Drosophila melanogaster: one gene and its partners. The protein of the gene in region 2 interacts with the protein of the main gene of each other region in a pairwise test. Each region holds a gene or a part of one and is shown on either strand. Other genes may lie near its edges. The genes, in order: GstT2, Cpr76Ba, CtsK2 and CstF64.

Evidence for each region.
Region 1: the proteins of Cpr76Ba (region 2) and GstT2 interact in a two-hybrid assay, tested with the Drosophila melanogaster proteins (one large-scale study listed by BioGRID).
Region 3: the proteins of Cpr76Ba (region 2) and CtsK2 interact in a two-hybrid assay, tested with the Drosophila melanogaster proteins (one large-scale study listed by BioGRID).
Region 4: the proteins of Cpr76Ba (region 2) and CstF64 interact in a two-hybrid assay, tested with the Drosophila melanogaster proteins (one large-scale study listed by BioGRID).

What each region holds. Positions count from the first base shown.
Region 1 is NT_033778.4:9,605,171-9,609,666, forward strand, and holds GstT2 (glutathione S transferase T2), read left to right. Parts: upstream 1-2,121; 5' UTR 2,122-2,196; coding exon 2,197-2,314; intron 2,315-2,365; coding exon 2,366-2,468; intron 2,469-2,530; coding exon 2,531-2,847; intron 2,848-2,906; coding exon 2,907-3,055; 3' UTR 3,056-3,178; downstream 3,179-4,496. Other genes in the region: GstT1 (glutathione S transferase T1), read left to right, coding at 917-1,034, 1,110-1,212, 1,277-1,593, 1,655-1,803; CG12926 (uncharacterized protein), read right to left, coding at 3,179-3,433, 3,495-3,867, 3,926-4,239.
Region 2 is NT_037436.4:19,516,328-19,520,710, reverse strand, and holds Cpr76Ba (cuticular protein 76Ba), read left to right. Parts: upstream 1-2,378; 5' UTR 2,379-2,435; coding exon 2,436-3,050; 3' UTR 3,051-3,159; downstream 3,160-4,383. Other genes in the region: Cpr76Bb (cuticular protein 76Bb), read right to left, coding at 420-1,016.
Region 3 is NT_033778.4:17,509,710-17,515,157, forward strand, and holds CtsK2 (cathepsin K2), read left to right. Parts: upstream 1-2,520; 5' UTR 2,521-2,658; coding exon 2,659-3,006; intron 3,007-3,066; coding exon 3,067-3,275; intron 3,276-3,340; coding exon 3,341-4,046; 3' UTR 4,047-4,146; downstream 4,147-5,448. Other genes in the region: CG34193 (uncharacterized protein), read left to right, coding at 274-369, 437-574; CG4853 (uncharacterized protein), read left to right, coding at 5,029-5,448.
Region 4 is NT_033777.3:18,657,427-18,662,304, forward strand, and holds CstF64 (cleavage stimulation factor 64 kD subunit), read left to right. Parts: upstream 1-2,191; 5' UTR 2,192-2,278; coding exon 2,279-2,415; intron 2,416-2,478; coding exon 2,479-3,601; 3' UTR 3,602-3,700; downstream 3,701-4,878. Other genes in the region: Cpsf73 (cleavage and polyadenylation specificity factor 73), read right to left, coding at 3,733-3,822, 3,886-4,328, 4,390-4,878.

The DNA of each region.
Region 1 (4,496 bases), on a different chromosome or scaffold from region 2:
TAAGAAGCAAATGGATCGCCATCAAATGGCACAAAAACCTCACAAGTTTGTCGATTTTAATTTATTGCTGTCCTTATCCACGCACATACTTATACACATTCTAACGTCCGGTCGAACGATTCATTCTACCATGATCCCATAATGCATTTTCATGATGAAATCTTCAACGTCTTCTACTTGCGTGCTAAGTTGTTGTTGGCTTTGATTTTATCGCATACTTTTATAAATACGGTACATGAGCATACATATATATTTTGGATAATTTTTCAGTTGGTTAAGTGTCGTTTTTACTAATTTTTGATACTAGTTTACACATACATATACATGCATCTCTATATTTATGGATAATACATACATAGTTAAATGACTATATTTAAATGTGACAATGTACTGTAGACCCCATGTTGAGTGCGTTAATAAATTAAAGCGAATTTGTTTAAATGTCGGTATAACTAAAACATAAATGGTATTACTTGGGGTTGCCTTCTTCATAAATGGGGTAAGGGTAATGTGTTTATCTGGTCGAGATAAACGCTTTGTGGTTCTTGATGACTGGTTGACATATCGCTGTTTGAACTGAGATTCCGATAAGTGAAATCGATAAGCTTTCGGTTATGACAAAAGCAAGGCTACAGCATTTAATTTTATTGATCATTGGTATATTTTATCTGACTTCTTACCACCACCTGATTATTTTGAACTTATATATTTGCCCGCCCTTCTCGGATTCCCCATAGAATGGGATGGGATGGCAATATCATTTTGGGTACAGTGTTGAAAAGCGACCAGTTTGAACTTTGGACCGGAATAAAGCTTTTTGCTTTGAGCTTTTTGACATTTCATCAGCGACAACAAATATATTTTGTTTTCGTGTTTACCGGGCTTCCTGAAGCTAACTGATTAATTAATTGCCAAGATGTCGAAGGCTATTAAGTATTATTACGATTTCCTATCGCAGCCATCCCGCGCCCTCTGGATTGCTATGAAATTGGGCAAGACCCCATTTGAAGACTGCCCGGTTGCCCTGCGAAAACGTAAGAATAAATAACAAGTTACACATGTATATAAGGTATAAAGATCTTCTAACATTTGGGATGGTTATATTCCAGAGGAGCAATTGACCGACGAATATCGCAGTATAAATCGGTTCCAAAAGGTGCCGGCCATCGTGGATGGTAAATTTCAGTTGGGCGAGAGTGTCTCCATAGTGCGGTAAGTTCAAGTATCCAGAGCTCGGATTGCCAGGTTAATACTATAGATAAATGACACATTTCAGATATCTCGCGGACAAGGGAGTCTTCAGTGAACAGCTGTACCCCAAAACCTTGGAGGAACGCGCGCGGGTGGACGAGTTCCTCGAGTGGCAGCATTTCAATGTCCGCTTGGTCTGCTCCCTGTTCTTCCGTCAGGTGTGGCTTCTTCCGGCAAAGGGACTGGCGCCGGCTCCCAAGCCAGAGTCTGTCAAGAAGCTAATCAAGGATGTGGAGAGTAATTTGGGTCTACTGGAACGCCTCTGGCTGGAAAAGGACTTCTTAGTCGGCGACAAACTTACCGTGGCAGACATCTTCGGGTCTTCAGAAATTAATCAGATGAGTAAGACTGAGCCCACTGCTGTATCTAAAATAAATTCTAATAATAACGATTTGTAATTTAGAGCTCTGCCAGTACAACGTAAATGAGAAGCAATTCCCCAAGGTGGCCAAGTGGATGGAACGCGTTCGTGATGCTACCAATCCCTACTACGATGAGGCCCACAGCTTCGTCTACAAGACCTCTCAGCAGGCAGTCAAGGCCAAAAACTGATTTCTTTTCGATTTTGACTGATTTCTTTGTTCATTGCATTTATTAGGATTTTAAAACATTTTTGTGCCTTATCTGATGTTTATTGTGTTCAGTTCTGCGCTGCAAAACTCCTAAATGTTAAAATAATTAGAGACTATGAAAAGGGGTGATATCGGATCAATAATAGTTTCATATGTTCGCTTTATATAATATAACTATCTTTGAAGTTGGGAGCCACTTTTGAATTTGCCTCCTAAAGCGGGACAACTATAATAGCATAAAACCAGTGTTGCAAGGTGACACTCAAGATCTTTTGACTGGAGCTTTGCTCAATTTCTCATTTTCCAGCTGAAGATATTCGTTTTTGCCGGCTGTTTGGAAGTTGGGGCTGAGGAACGGGAGCAATTGACCACCATGTCCAAGCCAATTAGATTCTATTACGATTTGTTGTCCCCGATCGCCCGTGGTCTATGGATTGGTTTAAAATTCAGCAACTCACCCGTTGAGTATTGCCCGATTGCCCTGCGAAAATGTGAGTCAAAGTAATCATCTAAACTGCCCCGACTCATTTATGTTTTATTAGTTGAGCAATTGACCGACGAGTACAAGAAGATCAATCGATTCCAGAAGGTGCCCGCCATTGTGGGTGGGGACTTCCATTTGTCTGAGACCATAGCGATTATAAGGTATGGGAAGGCCATCATTGGAAAGCAATCTCACATTTGGATCGTACATTGCCCCCTTGCAGATATCTCGCAGACAAAGGTCAGTTCGATGAGAAGCTCTACCCAAAGACGCTGGAGAACCGTGCCCGAGTGGATGAGTTCCTTGAGTGGCAACACCTGAACATTCGTCTTGCATGTTCCATGTACTTTCGAGATGCCTGGCTGTTTCCCATGAACGGGATAGCGCCCAAGCCCAAGCCAGAGCAGATTCAAGCACTGATTGAGGGAGTGGAAAACAATCTGGGTTTACTGGAGCGCCTGTGGCTGGAAAATGATTTTTTGGTTGGGAAAAACCTGACAATGGCTGATATCCTTGGCTCTTCCGAAATCAACCAGCTGAGTGTGTTAAACTAGTGTGGAGATAACTTAACGAAACTAATTATTTTTATTGTATTTAAGGGCTCTGCCAATACAGAGTGGACGAGAAAAAGTTCCCAAAGGTGGTCAAATGGTTGGAACGCGTAAGGGTATCCGCAAATCCCTACCATGACGAGGGACTGACTTTTATTGACCGAAAATCTAAGCAATCGACGGCGGCAAAGTTGTAAGGACTCAAGTACTTACCACTTACTATTTAACCAAATTCGTATAGTTTTATGTTGTTTAGTTTTGATTTGTTTGTGTTCGTACAAAGATTAAAAATCACTACGTTTTATATGTTACGCACTAGACTAGTCGATGTCTAGTTTTCTGAAGGATCCTTCGATTCCAAAAAGTGATTCGGCGCTAACGGGCTGTCCTCGCCGTAGCTTTTCATTCGTGCCATAAGAAGCCTCCTCCTCAAAGAATGGCTTGTAGGCCAGGAGCTTGGTCCTCCATGTACTGACGACGTCCTGGATGGTTCCATTGCTGCCCCCATACTCAGCTGGCAAGCATTCCTTGGGCACATACTTGTAGAGACTGTCCAGTTTGGAGTGTATATGAAACTAGACGGGTAGAAAATGTTCCATAGTGGTTACACTTTTGTGACATGTTTGATAAACTCACCCGTTTCCGAATCTTTTCGCTCATCAGGCTCTTGGCAATGGACATGAACTTCTCTGCACTGGAGGGCGCATTTACAAAGTGAAAACCCTTGGGCCTGTAGGGATACGCTTTGTCGCCCAAAACGGCCAGTTTCTTGACCAGCACCGCGTCGAACTGGAATAGGTGACCTGCCCCAACGCCCTTCATGTCGATGATCTCCACAAAGCCGGATATCATAGCATTGTCGTCTTCCCTTATCTGAATCTCGCCGAGCATCGTGTTTACCTGGACAACCTCGGCAATGGAGTACTTCTTCGAGTCGTATTGACCGTAGCGGGAGATGTGGATGCGAGGACCATCAGCCTGCAGTGGCTGCGGCAATCGGAGGAGGCAACTGCAATTTGAATAAATTATGAGGAAACATTCTTTTTACAACCTCAAGTAGATCTCACCCTGTGTCCAGAATGCTGAGCTGCTTCTCACCCACAATGCGATTCTTGTAGAGCTCGGGCACGGCTCCCCTCATCGCATAGAAGTTGTCCAACTTGAGTTTGGTTTTCTCCAAGCTGTATTTGCAGCCACGCAGGAAGGCGACCAGGAACTGGGCATCCTGGCGAGCCTTGAGATGAGGTTGCTTGGAGATCCAAGTGCGCAACGTTTCGATATCCTCATCGATTCTGTCGGGTATCTCTCCCAGCTCGTCGTGCGCCTTTTTGGCCAGCTCTGGACTCAGGCTGCGTATGGAATTCGAATAGGCCTCCGACATTGCTACTTTTCGCTGGGTTTGCCTTATCACCACCTGTTCGATGCAAAGCATAGGTTTGATTTATTGAAATTTTTCCAGGTGCGATTAGTCAACCGGTTGCTTTTGGCCCCGATTTCCGCCTAGTTATGACAGTAACTGGTGTCTCTTGAGCGATGATTAGATAGTAGCCATGCCATATGGCCACCATTTCTTCGTCACTGAAGTTCGACATAGTCTTGGCTATGTTTTCGATTAGATTAAAATAGCTGCTACTTAAG
Region 2 (4,383 bases):
CTGCGAGTTTGTCGTGTCTCCACTTGGCCAGTTAATCCTGCTAATCCGTATCAAAATCAAGTGCTTGTGACTTGGGAAAACTTCCCAGAGACTCATTCGCAAGGCGGACACCACTTTTTAATGCATTTCCATATATTTTTCATACCTTAATAAGATATTTCTGTCTCATAAGGTATTTACTAACCTTTTCTATCTAGTAGATAAAGGTATAAATAATTTATAATAATTTATAATTGTATAAATAGTAAATGTCGTCCCTTCTTGATTATAAACAGCTACGCTTATTTATTTCAATACAAATATAAATATCGTCAATACTACACTTGTAAAAAGTTGGCTTTAGTTAGGTAAGTTCGTTGCATTGTTAACTAATGATGATTCCAGATCGTTTTCGCCGGGTGAGTCCGCATTTTGGTTGCTTAGTGCAGCTGCTTCACGCTTACGTAGCTACTGGCGTGGCCTCCGTGTCCGTATCCGTATCCGCCATATTGCGCCACATCGTGACCGTAGCCGTAGTCGGCGTCGTAGATATCGCCGTGTCCGTAGCCCTTGTGGTAGACCTGGGGGTGGTGGGCGTGGCCGAGCTTCTTTACCACTGCGTTGAAGCCATTGTGGTCATCGGCGGTGTACTCCACCACTCGGGTGGTGCCATCCGATTCCTTGAGGGAGTAGCTGCCCTTGACCTTGTCGCCATCCCGCGTCTCCCACTGGCTCTTCTGGTCTCCGGTGTGGGCATCCTTGACGCCGTAGTCGAATTGGTACTTGGGATAGTGATGGGGCTCGTGCTTGTCGTATCCGTATCCGTAGCCCGAATGGCCGACACTCGGATAGCCGTGTCCGTAGATGCCACCGTAAGCGCTGACCACATCGTGATCGTATCCGTAGCCCAGGCTCTTGTGGACGGGTCCTTCGTGCTTGGTCACCGAACTGTAGCTGGTGGCGTGTCCACCATGGGGAGCTGCCCAACTGGCTCCCACCAGAAGGGCAAAGAACAGACCTCCGCTAAAGGATTTCATATCGGTCACTTATTCGCTGTTTTCCAATCGGAACTTTGATGATGTCTGCTGGTTCTTGGGGAGCTCACCTAGACTATATATAGCTATCGAAGACTCTGGGGCAATCAACCATCGGGTGGTCATTCTCTTGGCCACACCATTCACCAATCGAGCTAGCTGATTTGATAATTACCTCACTAACTCGTACTTATTATTATTGTTTCGGCCATTGAGCTCTATAGAAAATCGGCACATTTTATTTAAAGTCCAATCCGTTACAATTAAATTCTGCTAGTAATAATTAATAATATCAGATCCAAAAAGTTTTTGTTAGATCGTTCGATGTGTTTGGTATTCAGTCAAAGAGAAGGGAAAAACTAAGGCAAGAACTTATTGCTTAATTTACAAAAATTAATTATGACTGAGAATGTGAACTGATGAAGGCGGCAGCTTTTGCTTGAAGAAATAAGGAAATGCTGTTAAACTAACCAATAAATAAACTTTGTAGTGTTGTACTTTGAAATCCTTATGTAAATATCCAAAGCGAACCTATTTTGCTATAAATAATTATGTGTTTTTCCTAGAAATCTGTTGGCTTCAACATTATATTTATTATATAGTTATTAGTAGTTTTAAAACTTGAACTACAGGATTTCTTTTTATTTAATATGCATGTTATTCCTATAGATAGCGAAACAATTTATGCAAATAAACGTCTTAAAAATAATTAACATCAGATAACGTAGGCTAAATACCAATATGCTTATATTTTCACGCATTTCAAATTTCCGAGCTTAAAGTCTATTAGCCTTGTAAATTATATGCATTAAAAAACACTATCGGTAAGTTAACACCAATTCGGAAGCTCTGGGTGCCCCACAGCAGACCCCCTGGTCAGAAACACCAACCGATTGGACGGTCCGCCCAACGCTGCCCTCCCCTTCTCAGCCCCTTACCGCACCGTCCGTCTCAAGGTCATTTGGAGTGAAGTAGGCGAAAAAGAGGGTCCAACCGTGGAAACGCAGCGAGGCGAGGCGAGGCGGCTATTGCTGAGCAATTTGAAAGCGGGCCACACTTGTTGATTGATTTCTAAGCAACAAAATCGAAAAGCTTTGCGTTTTTCAAGCATTTGAGCGATGTTCACGCCCCGCTTAATGATGATGTTGTTGTTTCTGGCAAGTTTTAATTTGCCAATCGACCGACCGCCCAAGACTATGAATACGAATGGGGAAAAATGAAAATTTGCACAAAAATTCGAAGCATTTTTTATACCCATTTTTGGGGCTCTTACTTTTTTCTAGCCTATTTAGCCCGCAGTCTAAAATGTAATTAATCGATCCATAGAATGGCCAGAAGTATAAAAGCATTGGGCATTGTCTGGTGATTATAACAGTTCCAATCGTGATTTAGGCCAGGCAAGTCAATCAGAAACCAACGAAAATGGCCCACCAATTGAGCATCCTCTGCTGCGCACTTCTGGGAGTGGCTGCTGCTAGCTACATCCCTCATGGTGGATATAGTCACGAACACGGCGTGGGGTACAGCATCCAGACGCATCACGAGGCGCCCAAGCAGTGGCAGGATCACCACCAGGCTCACCACCAATGGGTGGATGTCCCAAAGGCCCATTCATGGGGCACAGTTCAGGATCATCACCACCAGCAGTGGGCTCCAGTCGCTGCGCACGATAGCCACCACCAGTGGAGCCACCACGAGGAACCCAAACACCATCCCAAATACGAATTCAATTACGGGGTGAAGGACACCAAGACCGGCGACATCAAGCAGCAGTGGGAGACCCGCGATGGCGACAAGGTCAAGGGAGGCTACACCATGAAGGAGGCCGACGGACGCACCAGGATCGTTGAGTACACCGCCGACTCCCACAACGGATTCCAGGCAACCGTGAAGCATGTGGGACACGCCAGTCACTTGGAGCACAGCCACTCATATGGCCAGCAATACGGACATGGGCATGGTCATGCCACCAGCTACGTGGATGTCAAACAGGACACCAGCAGCAAATGGGAGGACAAGAGCAACAAGTGGTGGTAGAGGAGCTGACCTAACTGACTGACTGCAAGCGATTCGGACCGACTTAATTATTGTAAATAGAACTACAAAATTGTTAACTTAAATAGTAGGTAAATATATCAAAGTGCAGAAAAAAGCTACAAATCAAACTACTTTACTATTTAAAGTTTTTACAATAGTTCTGAGATTTAAGACCACAACGAACACCGTTTATTAAATGAGAGAAACAACTTACCGATCCAATAATTCTAAGATACATTCGATACGGAGGATGTTGAGGCCTTAGTGTCTTGCAGCCTTTTTGTATTCTAGCTCACATAAGGAGGTTCGGAAGATCTTACGCACATCTTTTCTAAGGACTTTGAAGGCTTCGGCTTGTTCAGAAAAGTCCTTCCAAAAGTTATCATCAGAGTCCGGTAAAGATATGGTAAAGATGGTAAAGATATTCCTGATTTTCACAATTTTTTAATTCATCTACATCGCCGTCGCTGTCGTTACTTAAGTTCCCCTGCTTATTCGACTCGATCTCGATGCCCAGAGTCATTGACTTCGAAACGAATGCCATTGAAAGTTTTTTCGGACCTCCCATTTTTGATATTATTAATCTGCTGAGACAGAGAAACAACGCCTGAGAAATCCTATTTATTGCCTATTTTCCAATTGAGTTGATAAGTAGTAGAAAGCTATAGGTGACCACATAAGATCTTAAAAAGTGCCTAGCCTGGTCAGCTTAAATTTACCATTTGTGTACGTTGAACTAAATTAAAATAATGAGTACAGCAAAACACATGTTATTTTCAAAAAATTTCCACACTTCCCTAATAATTGTATCTATTGTATAACAAAAAGTGTAGAACTTTGTAGCACAGTGTAAAATACATACAACATCTACTTTACAAACATTGCTTCGTACACAGTGTCAAAAATGTCGAAAACTGAGACCCCTGTCGGAAATTTACAGAACTTCGGGTTGCACTGCTTACATCCGGCAAAGCGGTTTGTTACATGCAAGGCAGTTCATTCTGTTAAAATTAAAAACGATAAATATTTTTAACTTTAATTTACTTCCACAATAATTGTCGGAAAACTTTGTATTTCTTTGAATTGTGTATTATTGATACTAAGAGCTTGTGTTTTTGACATCTTGAAAATAATTGTCTTTAAAGCGACCGCGAATAAACTTTGACATCTGGCCCGCACAATGATGGAATGCTGTCCAATGTAAGCCCGAGCATCGTGCCCTCGTCATATAAATTCATCAATTAAACATTAATTTATGCCGTGAAGCAAAGTTTTGCGGTCCCATAAATCTGGGAGGGCTGTTTGCCCAGAACGCAATCGCCGGAGTCGGTGG
Region 3 (5,448 bases), on a different chromosome or scaffold from region 2:
AAGTAACTGCTCGCCGGGAATGCCCCAATCAGGATAAATCTCTGGGGTAAACGACGGCTCCAGAAAGCAAAAGTGCCAGCCGATAAGAGGAGTATTTTTAAACAGCCCGAATGCGATTGAGTTGGAAGATAAAACCCGGAAGTTGCGGAAGTTGAAAGCGCTGGCGAAAGTTCCGACTTGGTGCGATTATATAAGGGAATCTCGCCGGTATGCAGTATCAGTGCAATCCAAACGCTTGCCTTGAAAACCATATCCTTTGCAACTAACCACACAATGAAAGTACTCCTGGCTTTAACTTTCCTGGCCACTTTGGCTCTTTCAGTGGCCCTTCCCCAGGTGGGACATGGATCTGTAAATGGACCCAGTGGGGTAAGTATTCCTCGGAGAAGCCAAGATGTTTTGTTAATTCTATGCATTTTCATATATGTGCACTCAGCGCTTCCCTATGACGAAGAATTGGGCGCAACCTCCGGTTGATTTGCGAAAACCCATTATCTTTCTGCCAGAGGCCACGCCCATTCACGAAGCCCAGGAGTCGCGCCCCCGACTAGCCAAACATCGCAAGAGTGGATAGATGCCAAGGAATACCTATTTATTATTTAAATTTAATAAGTATATGTTCGTAAGACAATCTGTTTCGTTGACATCTTATAGATGCGAATTATATTTAGCAAAACATTAGAAAAGTCAAGGAATTTCTGAAATATAAGTTAAGAAACATAGCACTAACTCGCTATAAAATAGCTTACATTCTAATAACTAAATTTGGCCTTCATTCGAATTAATTGAACATGAAGTTCACAAAAATTAGGTACAAAAACATTAATTTACTTTGGAGAAGGACGAAACATAATTTAATCTTGCTTACAAATTTACAAAATGCAACCAGTTTTTTTCGCGTGCTATATTTTATTGAGTTTTTGATAAATTTCGCTAATCAAACATTACAACATATATATATGGCGTGCTTAATGGCACTAACTAATGCTTAACTAATAACTTATTTAATTTAAAACATTAATTTCTGTGCCAGATATAAAACAAGTAAGGCAATGCAAATAAATTGTTTGATTGTAGCTGAAGAACTTTAAATTAAGTTCTTTATTAACCAGTTTGATACTCAACGAATTATAGCACCTGTTTCTCTGGCAGTTCAGATGGAGCTACTGTTTGTTGGTTCTTTTGCTATTAATCAAGACCCATTTTTATTTAAATTTATTTCTGAATTTATCAAAGATACTAGTTTCCCATATATGTATGTGTATGTATTACAATCAATGACGAATGAGCAGTATGAGTGCTTGAGCAGTTTCCCAAGTTACTAAATATTGAAGATAAATATTTCTAGAAAAAAAACAATCATTCCTAATTTGAATCTCTTATAGAAAAACACGTGCAGACAATATTTAATTGAAAACAAATCCTATGATTGGCCCTTTACCAGAAATAAGCAGAAACTTGATGAATATTCATTGCCTAGTTGACATAATTAATCCATAGTCACCTAATTTAGATAAAAAACTTGTTTTCCCAAACTGATTGGGGATCCCCCAAGGCACAAACGACGAATTTATTACATCTCAAAAGTATTCTAGCAAAGCTATTTAGATTTCATTTTAACGTAGCTACTGTTTCAAAACCCGAAAAAAATTGTGGAACCGACGTGTTAAATTAAAATGCAAATTAATATATTTGTTTAATATGCATGCATGACTATGTCAATCCATACAAAACACATTAATTAGTCACGACACTATTACAAATTGGGTAGGCTATAAAAGATCGGGAATTGGGATGGCCCCAAAAAAGTGGATCCAAGTCCATCGTCCACAAAGGTTGATTGACATAATTAATAATCGCTTGAACCGATACAGATCGTCACTCAACGGTGTTATAATTAATTGGAAACGGAACTCAAGCGGGTTTTGCTTTTAAGCTTCAAAATATACTCCATGCACTTCACGTAATACCTAATTTACACGAATTTAACAACGGGTTTTCGTCGAGTTCCGGTTTTTCCTGAAAGCATACGTTATCAAAAAGTGACTTGAGAAGTGATTAAAAGTGTTAATTGCAAACGAGAATCCGTGCGATCAAATATACGAATGCATTCAGATAGAAAGCAGCCCAAATGCGTAATCGTTCTATCACATAAAAGTCAAATAATCAAGATTTATCCACTTTATTAAACACACCCAATCTGGACCAAAATAGATTAAATTCTAATACTCTCCCATATTCCGAACCATCTTGCATGGCGCTAATGAACCGAGACGAGTTCCCAAACCACACGGCGAATATCGCTGGATCGGTCGGATCGCACACATCAAAACAGATATAGCACATACTCGTATACGATATGCATGGTATAATCAACGCGTTTCGATTTCTGTATAATTCCGAATCACTGGACTTGGGATTTATGGATTTGAATGGATCGGGTGGGGGCGAGGTTGGCCAGTTTATAGCCTGAAACCTACTAGTCTAATGGCTATATAAGCCCCGATCGACGGTCGAGACAAAAACATTTGTGTGGACCGTGCGAGCGCGTTAGGTTAGTCTATTGGGAATTACTTGCGATTACTCGCATCAGAAAAATTTGTGCAATAGTATCTCGTATTTGCAATAGACAAGCAAATCGGCTGATAAGCCGATCATATGCAATCAAATATAATTAGTGCATCGCCGTTTCACCCTTCGACTACAAAACCAGTCGGAACTAATAGTTTCGTCTTTTGGCAGATCAGTATGAAGCTTCTGTTGGTTCTTCCACTTCTGGTGGCTGTGGTCTCTGGCCAGGGATTCGGAGGCGGTGGATTTGGAGGCGGATTTGGAGGTGGACTCGGAGGCGGATTTGGAGGTGGACTCGGAGGCTTGGGCAACAATCGAGTGGGTGGAGCTTTACAAAATGTGGCCGGCGCCGTTCAGAATGCCGTGGGCAACATTGCCAAGGCTGTGCCCAAGGTGCCGCTGCTCTCAAACGTCCAGGACTTTGGTGACTTCTTGGTGAGATAGGCAGCATTGATCAATTTCAAAGGTAGAAGTAAAACTTCAACCGATTTGCAGAGCCAATCTGGAAAGACCTATCTCTCCGCCGCTGATCGCGCTCTTCATGAAGGTGCCTTCGCTTCCACCAAGAACCTGGTGGAAGCCGGAAACGCAGCCTTTGCCCAAGGAGTGCACACCTTCAAGCAGGCCGTGAACGCCTTCGCCGATCTGACCCACTCTGAGTTCCTTAGTCAATTGACCGGTCTGAAGAGAAGTCCGGAGGCTAAGTAAGTGCTAACAAACCATTTGCACAGCCGGCATAGGATTTTATCAATTCTATATCTGCACCCAGGGCTCGAGCTGCTGCCAGTTTGAAGTTGGTCAACCTGCCTGCGAAGCCCATCCCGGATGCCTTCGATTGGCGCGAGCATGGCGGTGTCACACCAGTCAAATTCCAGGGTACCTGTGGCTCCTGTTGGGCCTTTGCCACCACTGGTGCCATTGAGGGACACACCTTCCGCAAGACCGGCAGCCTGCCCAATCTCTCTGAGCAGAATCTGGTCGACTGTGGTCCGGTGGAGGACTTTGGCCTGAATGGCTGCGATGGTGGCTTCCAGGAGGCCGCATTCTGTTTCATCGATGAGGTGCAAAAGGGTGTGTCCCAGGAGGGGGCCTATCCCTACATTGACAACAAGGGCACGTGCAAGTACGATGGCAGCAAGTCCGGAGCCACCCTCCAGGGATTCGCCGCTATTCCGCCCAAGGACGAGGAGCAGCTGAAGAAGGTGGTGGCCACTCTGGGACCAGTTGCCTGTTCGGTGAATGGTTTGGAGACTCTTAAGAACTACGCCGGTGGCATCTATAACGACGATGAGTGCAACAAGGGCGAGCCGAACCACTCCATTCTGGTCGTCGGTTACGGATCGGAGAAAGGACAGGATTACTGGATCGTCAAGAACTCCTGGGACGACACCTGGGGCGAAAAGGGCTACTTCCGCCTGCCTCGCGGCAAAAACTACTGCTTCATTGCTGAGGAGTGCTCCTATCCCGTGGTTTAAGCGGGGAATCCGAAATTTATGGCAAAATTTACTGTGCAGTTTGTGATGTGGACTTGGCGTTGGTTGCGTCCATTTCTTAAATAAAAGTCTTTTCTTAATTATAATGCTGCTAAATTAGAGTAGTTAAACGAAAGTAATGCAATGCATTGCTTTGCTTAAATATTTACAGATAACAAATTAAAGAGGAATAAACAAGAATCTTTTGGAAATTTAAAACTATTCACGGGTTAATTGGGCACTAAACGAACTTTAGAGGAGTTCAGCAATTTGATGTGAACAATAACCAGACCTTTATGTCCAAACAAGAAGATCTAGATATTCGGGTAAATTAAAAAAATGTTTGGGGATAGTAACGGAAATAACGCTTGACATTTTAAAACCTGTTAAAAGCGTTGCCAGATGCGGATATTTACAGCAAGAAAGCAAGTAATCGATGATTTCCCCAGTTGGGGATATCGATTATTGCCAAATTTGTGTAAACATCGATGGTATCGCTGTACCGAGACAACAATAATAGAAATAAATTAAGTCAATTGGCGAATTAAACTATATTAGGCGCAGAAAAAACGGCGGACATTTGATGAGCAGCAGGCGGGGAATGCCGTGACGAAAGGCGGCAGTGCGTCCGATGGAAGGCCACCGCGCAACAGTGTTCCTGCAGGTGTGTCTGCTCCGGAAGCGATGTTCTGATCAGAAGAGACCAGCCCACTTTTGGGAAAGTGGGCGTTGTCACCAGAGCGCACGAAACCAAAGCCCCCGGCCACCTGTCTTTCTCCCACTGTGTGTGTGCTAATCGAGGTTTCCCCTTGCCCCTTCCTTTCCAGAAATGTACGCGATAGTGGTGCATGTGCATTGCGACTAATCCAAAGAGTCCCCCTGTGGTCATAACGCATTTAACAACCATCGCAGCCAAATAGTCACGTTTCTCCAGAGATCCCCGTGTGTCTGCACTTTCCCCATCCCCGATAACCCCGCCCCAAGCATGGACGAAGATATCCTAAACGCTGTGGAGTCCCTGTTCGGCAAGGATGTCAAGATCGTGGACTGCGAAACCTCATCCTCGCTGCAGCAGGAGGAGGTGTTGCTGGTCAACGGAGTGCCGGTGAAGCTGGATGGGCTGCCGGCGGATGATGCCAGTGCCATAAAGGCAGCTTTGCTGGAGGGGCAGATGCCATCGGTTGAGCACCTGAATCAATTGCTCTTCCGCGCCGGATTGGCCCAACAGCCCATCGAGGTAGAGACCTCGTTGACCGTCAAGTCCTCTCTGACCACCACGGAGGAGGTGCTGGTCTCGCGCAACGGACAAATCCTAGACGAACGCACCGTGGAGACCAAGGAAAACTTTAACCATCAGTCGCACCAGAAAGAGATCTGGCATCCTGTCAAGCAGCAGTCGGCCTTG
Region 4 (4,878 bases), on a different chromosome or scaffold from region 2:
ACCCTACTTTTCTTATAGAAAGGTGATTTGGACTGGAAGAACCCTTCGCACATCGTGCATCCTAACTGTTGAAAGTAACTCAATTAAAACCACAAATGTTTTACTATCGGGGGTAGCACAAATAATCAGTAAAAAAACGTTCGTTGGAAGTTTCTTGTAGTGAGTAATTTCTTTAAAAGCCAACAAAATAAAAGCATGATAAAAATAAAATTGTTTCAACAGCGAGTGCATTTCTAATATGATGATTATAATGATTTTGGTTTACCAGTAATTATTTTGTTCTTTAGAAAGCTACCAAATAAGTACAATTAAACATACAAGGCATATTTAATAATTGAGGATCGCAAAGGATCAAAATGAGAGAACAAGAGTCAATAAACTTTTCTAGCACAAAGCAGACCCAACCTCAACACAGTCACCCTTAAAGTCGATTCCACATTTTCGAAATCAGAGGTGCCATTTTAAATCGATTCTATTGATTTAGTAAAGCCATGTCTTATATTCGAATCCGTTCATATTAACCACATTCTCTGAGTAGAGCAACATAAGAATTCTGATTAGAAGGTCCTGTTTGGGCAATGGAAATGGCGGATTGGAATGCCGGTTGCAGATGGGTGAGACAACTTCTGGAGCAGCTTTTTTCTCTCGGGGAGCCAGAGCAGCAGGAAGAAACGGAATCAGAATCGGAAAAAAAGAGGCAACGACCCAGACCCAGCCTGCTGACGAGTTATTGGCCGTTCATCTGGTTTGCCTTTTGCTGCTTGCCTTTTGCGATAACTTTTGCTTTTATTTATAGTCTGTCTGCAGACCAACATTCACTTGTTTCTTTTTTGGGATTTGGCCATCTCTGCAAGGGTGGCTCTTTGTTTTGGGGGCGAAGGACAATGCGAGGGCTGCACATAAACAGCGGCAAACAAATGTCTACGTCTGTTGCTATTGATTTTTCCTTTGCCAAAGGTTACACACACCACGCACACACAACACCCACATGCACACATGCACACACAGACTGTCGAAAAATTGAGGAGCACACGGTGCGTAAATGCATTATGATTTATTCCAGTATCCCAGTTTGCAGCGACAACAATCGCCAGCCAACCTTTTTTCCAGTGTGCACACACGCGCGCTTGTTTGTGTGCGTTAATGTCGCTGATCTTGCCACTTATTGTACGATTTTTTTCTGCTGATTATTATTCACATAATTACAGACACACACAATTTAAAAATGCACATATTTCCGCTTTTGTTCACCAGCCATTGCCATCGATTTCGTTTTCGTTTCGTCCATGGAATGGAATGACACTTCCACAAAGAGAGGACGCCAGCTAATTACCAGTATCGATCGAGAGAGAGAGCGGCTGAGAGCGTATCCTTGGAAATGTAAAGAGCGTGGTGCACCTGCGGCCGCTTAAAGATGAAGAGGAAGTGGAGTTGGAGGAGGAACTGGAACAGGAGGACCAGGAGCCAGGAGGCTCTCTTCTCTTCTTTTTCTCGTTCAATGACACAGAAATCTTTCCTCTCGTCTTCCGCTTTGTGCGCTCCTTCTTCCAATATACAAGCGAGCTTTTTATATGTGCGAGTGCGACTGCGAGGCCATCGCTGCGTTTATCTCCCTCTGTCTGTGTGTGTGTGCGTTTGTGTGTGTTGGAGTGCGTGTGGCTACACACAAAGTAATATTTTCAAGCACGTTTTTCATGCACTTCGAGCCGTTTTTTGTCTATTGCCGCATAGAAAACGAATAAACGCCACTTTCATCTACAATTTGGTGTACAATTCGTGCATATTGGTGCACTTTTCACTATCAAAAACCGTTTAAATCGTTTTCACCTTGCGACAAGAAAAATTACAACACCAGGCGTTGGAGTGCTGCAAAACGTATGCGGGCTGCGGGAACTTACCAGCACTAGCAGTGGTGGTATTTTTGGCTAAGCAGGGCATTTAGCTATTTTCTTGCTAAATACTACGTTTCTAAGTGATGGCAATGGATGAGAATCCCAAAAATTAGACCAATACTGTTAATTATTTTCTCAGGTGTTTAGATAAGAAAATAAAATAAAATGGCTTGCGTATCTGTTATTACACTTTGTTTAATATTTTGCGTCCCATACCGCTTTATTTCCCAAAAAGTATATGAAAAGTATGAATCCCTGGTAAGGGAAATTATTCAAGGAAGAAGAAGAAACAGCAAGCCGGAACGCAGGGAATTTTTTAGACAAGTTTGTCAACGTTTGCTAAGATTTTGTCGAGTTTGTGCAGTAAATAATAACAAACAACAGATATGGCAGATAAGGCGCAGGAACAAAGTATAATGGACAAGTCCATGCGGTCGGTTTTTGTGGGGAACATACCCTACGAGGCCACCGAGGAGAAGCTAAAGGAGATTTTCAGCGAAGTGGGCCCGGTCTTGTCACTGAAGTGAGTTCCCTACTTAGAGCCATGCAATATCTCACTGTAAACCTCCTATTCTCAATCCCCCAGACTGGTCTTTGATCGGGAAAGTGGCAAACCCAAGGGCTTTGGCTTCTGCGAGTACAAGGACCAGGAGACGGCTTTAAGTGCCATGCGGAATCTGAATGGCTATGAGATCGGCGGCAGAACACTGCGAGTGGACAACGCGTGTACGGAGAAGTCGCGCATGGAGATGCAGCAGCTGCTTCAGGGACCCCAGGTGGAGAATCCCTATGGCGAGCCCTGCGAACCAGAGGATGCTCCCGAGCTCATCACCAAAACGGTGGCTTCCTTGCCGCCGGAGCAAATGTACGAGCTGATGAAGCAGATGAAGCTCTGCATCGTGAGCAATCCATCGGAGGCACGCCAGATGCTAATGCTCAATCCTCAGTTGGCGTACGCTTTGCTCCAGGCCATGGTGGTTATGAGGATCGTGGACCCTCAGCAGGCGCTCGGGATGCTCTTCAAGGCCAACCAAATGCCCCCCGTCTTGGGCGGCAATCCGCACCAGGGGCCGGGGAATCACACCATGATGGGTCAGCAACAGGTTCCGCAACAGCAGGTGCAGATCCCGCAGCAACAGCAACAGGCTCCCCAGCCACCAATGCCCGTTCCCGGACCTGGCTTCCCGGCCAATGTCCATCCGAACGATATCGATTTGCGCATGGTGCCGGGTGGACCCATGCCGATGGATCCCAGGATGATGGGCCGTGGCATGGACCAGGATTTGCGAGCTTCTCTACCCAATCCAGTGCCACCGCCGCTGATGGATCCCCGAGCTCGTGCCCAGATGCCCCCACAGCAGCAGCAGGGCGTTCCGCAGGCGCCACCGGCCCCCTATCCCAGCGATCCGCGCCAGCGTCCCATGGATCCCAGGTTAAGGGCAGGACCTGGTCCTCAGCAGCAGGCGCCGCCACAAGGAATCCCCCAAGCGCCGCCACCGACACAACAACAGCAGGCGGCCGCTCAGCAGTTGCAGAGCAGACTAGGCGCCCATGGAGTCCTGCCCTCGGATGCCTCCGACCAGGAGAAGGCTGCCCTCATCATGCAGGTACTGCAGCTGTCCGACGAACAGATTGCGCAGCTGCCCTCCGAGCAACGGGTCAGTATTGTCATGCTCAAAGAGCAGATTGCGAAGAGTACCCAGCGCTGAAACTACTCTGGCTGAAACAAATGAAAAATCACCATTTCGCTCATGCATACTATAGTACTTTCAACATTGAATCAATTAATAAAAAGAACATTTCAACACAAGGAGATTTATTAAGCGGAATAGAATGGTTTTCAAAGAGCGGAGACTAGGGTCTGGTGTAACTTCTGAACCGTCGTATTGAGCATTTGTCGCAGCACATCATCCTCGGCACAGCTGATGGCCTGGAAAGATTGTAGATTAACGATATTTTTCGATTTTAAAAAGCACCTTCGACGAACACTCACCAGGGTTTCCAGATTTATTTCCGCACGTTTACCGCTCACCGTCACTGGCAGCAGATCGCCCTCGAACATTTTTGGCACGCAGTTGTCGCCGAAGGTGTCCTGTAGCGTCTCGATTAGGCACTCCCGAAAGCGCGAGTCCTCTGACTTGGTTTGCTTTGTGGCACCCTTCAGATTTGTTCCGCCCAACTCCGATTGCATGATGCAGGCAAGAACGGCATCGGCGTACACATCATTCACATGCGTCGCTTGCCACTCCATCACAATGATTTTCTGCTCCACAGTTAGCTCGATGCAGCCGAACACGCGCAGCTTTCGCTCCGCCTCCAGCACCTCAACGCATCCGGCTCCAATGCGATCCAGCAGTAGCTCTAGAGTGCTCAGCGAGCTGCCCCAGGGAATCGACTGGCGTTGGGTTACAACAGACATGCTCATATCCGTGTATTCTGTGGGAATTATTTAAATGAATCGACATTTTTACAAAGAAACTAACTAACTATTACTTACTGCCCAGATCAGAAGGAGCCAAGAGGTGGTACTTAAAGTCGCGCTTAACCAGAACACCTGAGAGTTTGCTTCCCACCTCCGAGTTCTTGGCTGCGAGGCTTCCCATCACCTTGGCGGTTTTCTCGCCACGGAAATAAAGATCCACGGCATGTGTGTTTCGCGGGTTGTAGAATTTTATATCCGTGCTTGCATCTGCTTCGTATTCCCGCTGCAGGGCCAACTTCAGACGCGACATCTCGTTCTGCTCGCCGTGGACGAGCACGACATGCGTTGGCTTTAGTAGGCGGATGAATTCACTGGTCTGCTGGTAGTCCGTGTGAGCCGAAAACGATATGTAGTCGACGGACATGTTGAGCGGCAGCTTCTGGCCCGACAGTGTGGTGATCTCCTCCGGCTCGGAGAGAACGGCTTTGGCCAAAGTGCCCTCCACGCAGTAACCGGCTATAATCACTCCGTTCTTGGGATCTGTGCACCAGCTCTCGAAGAGCT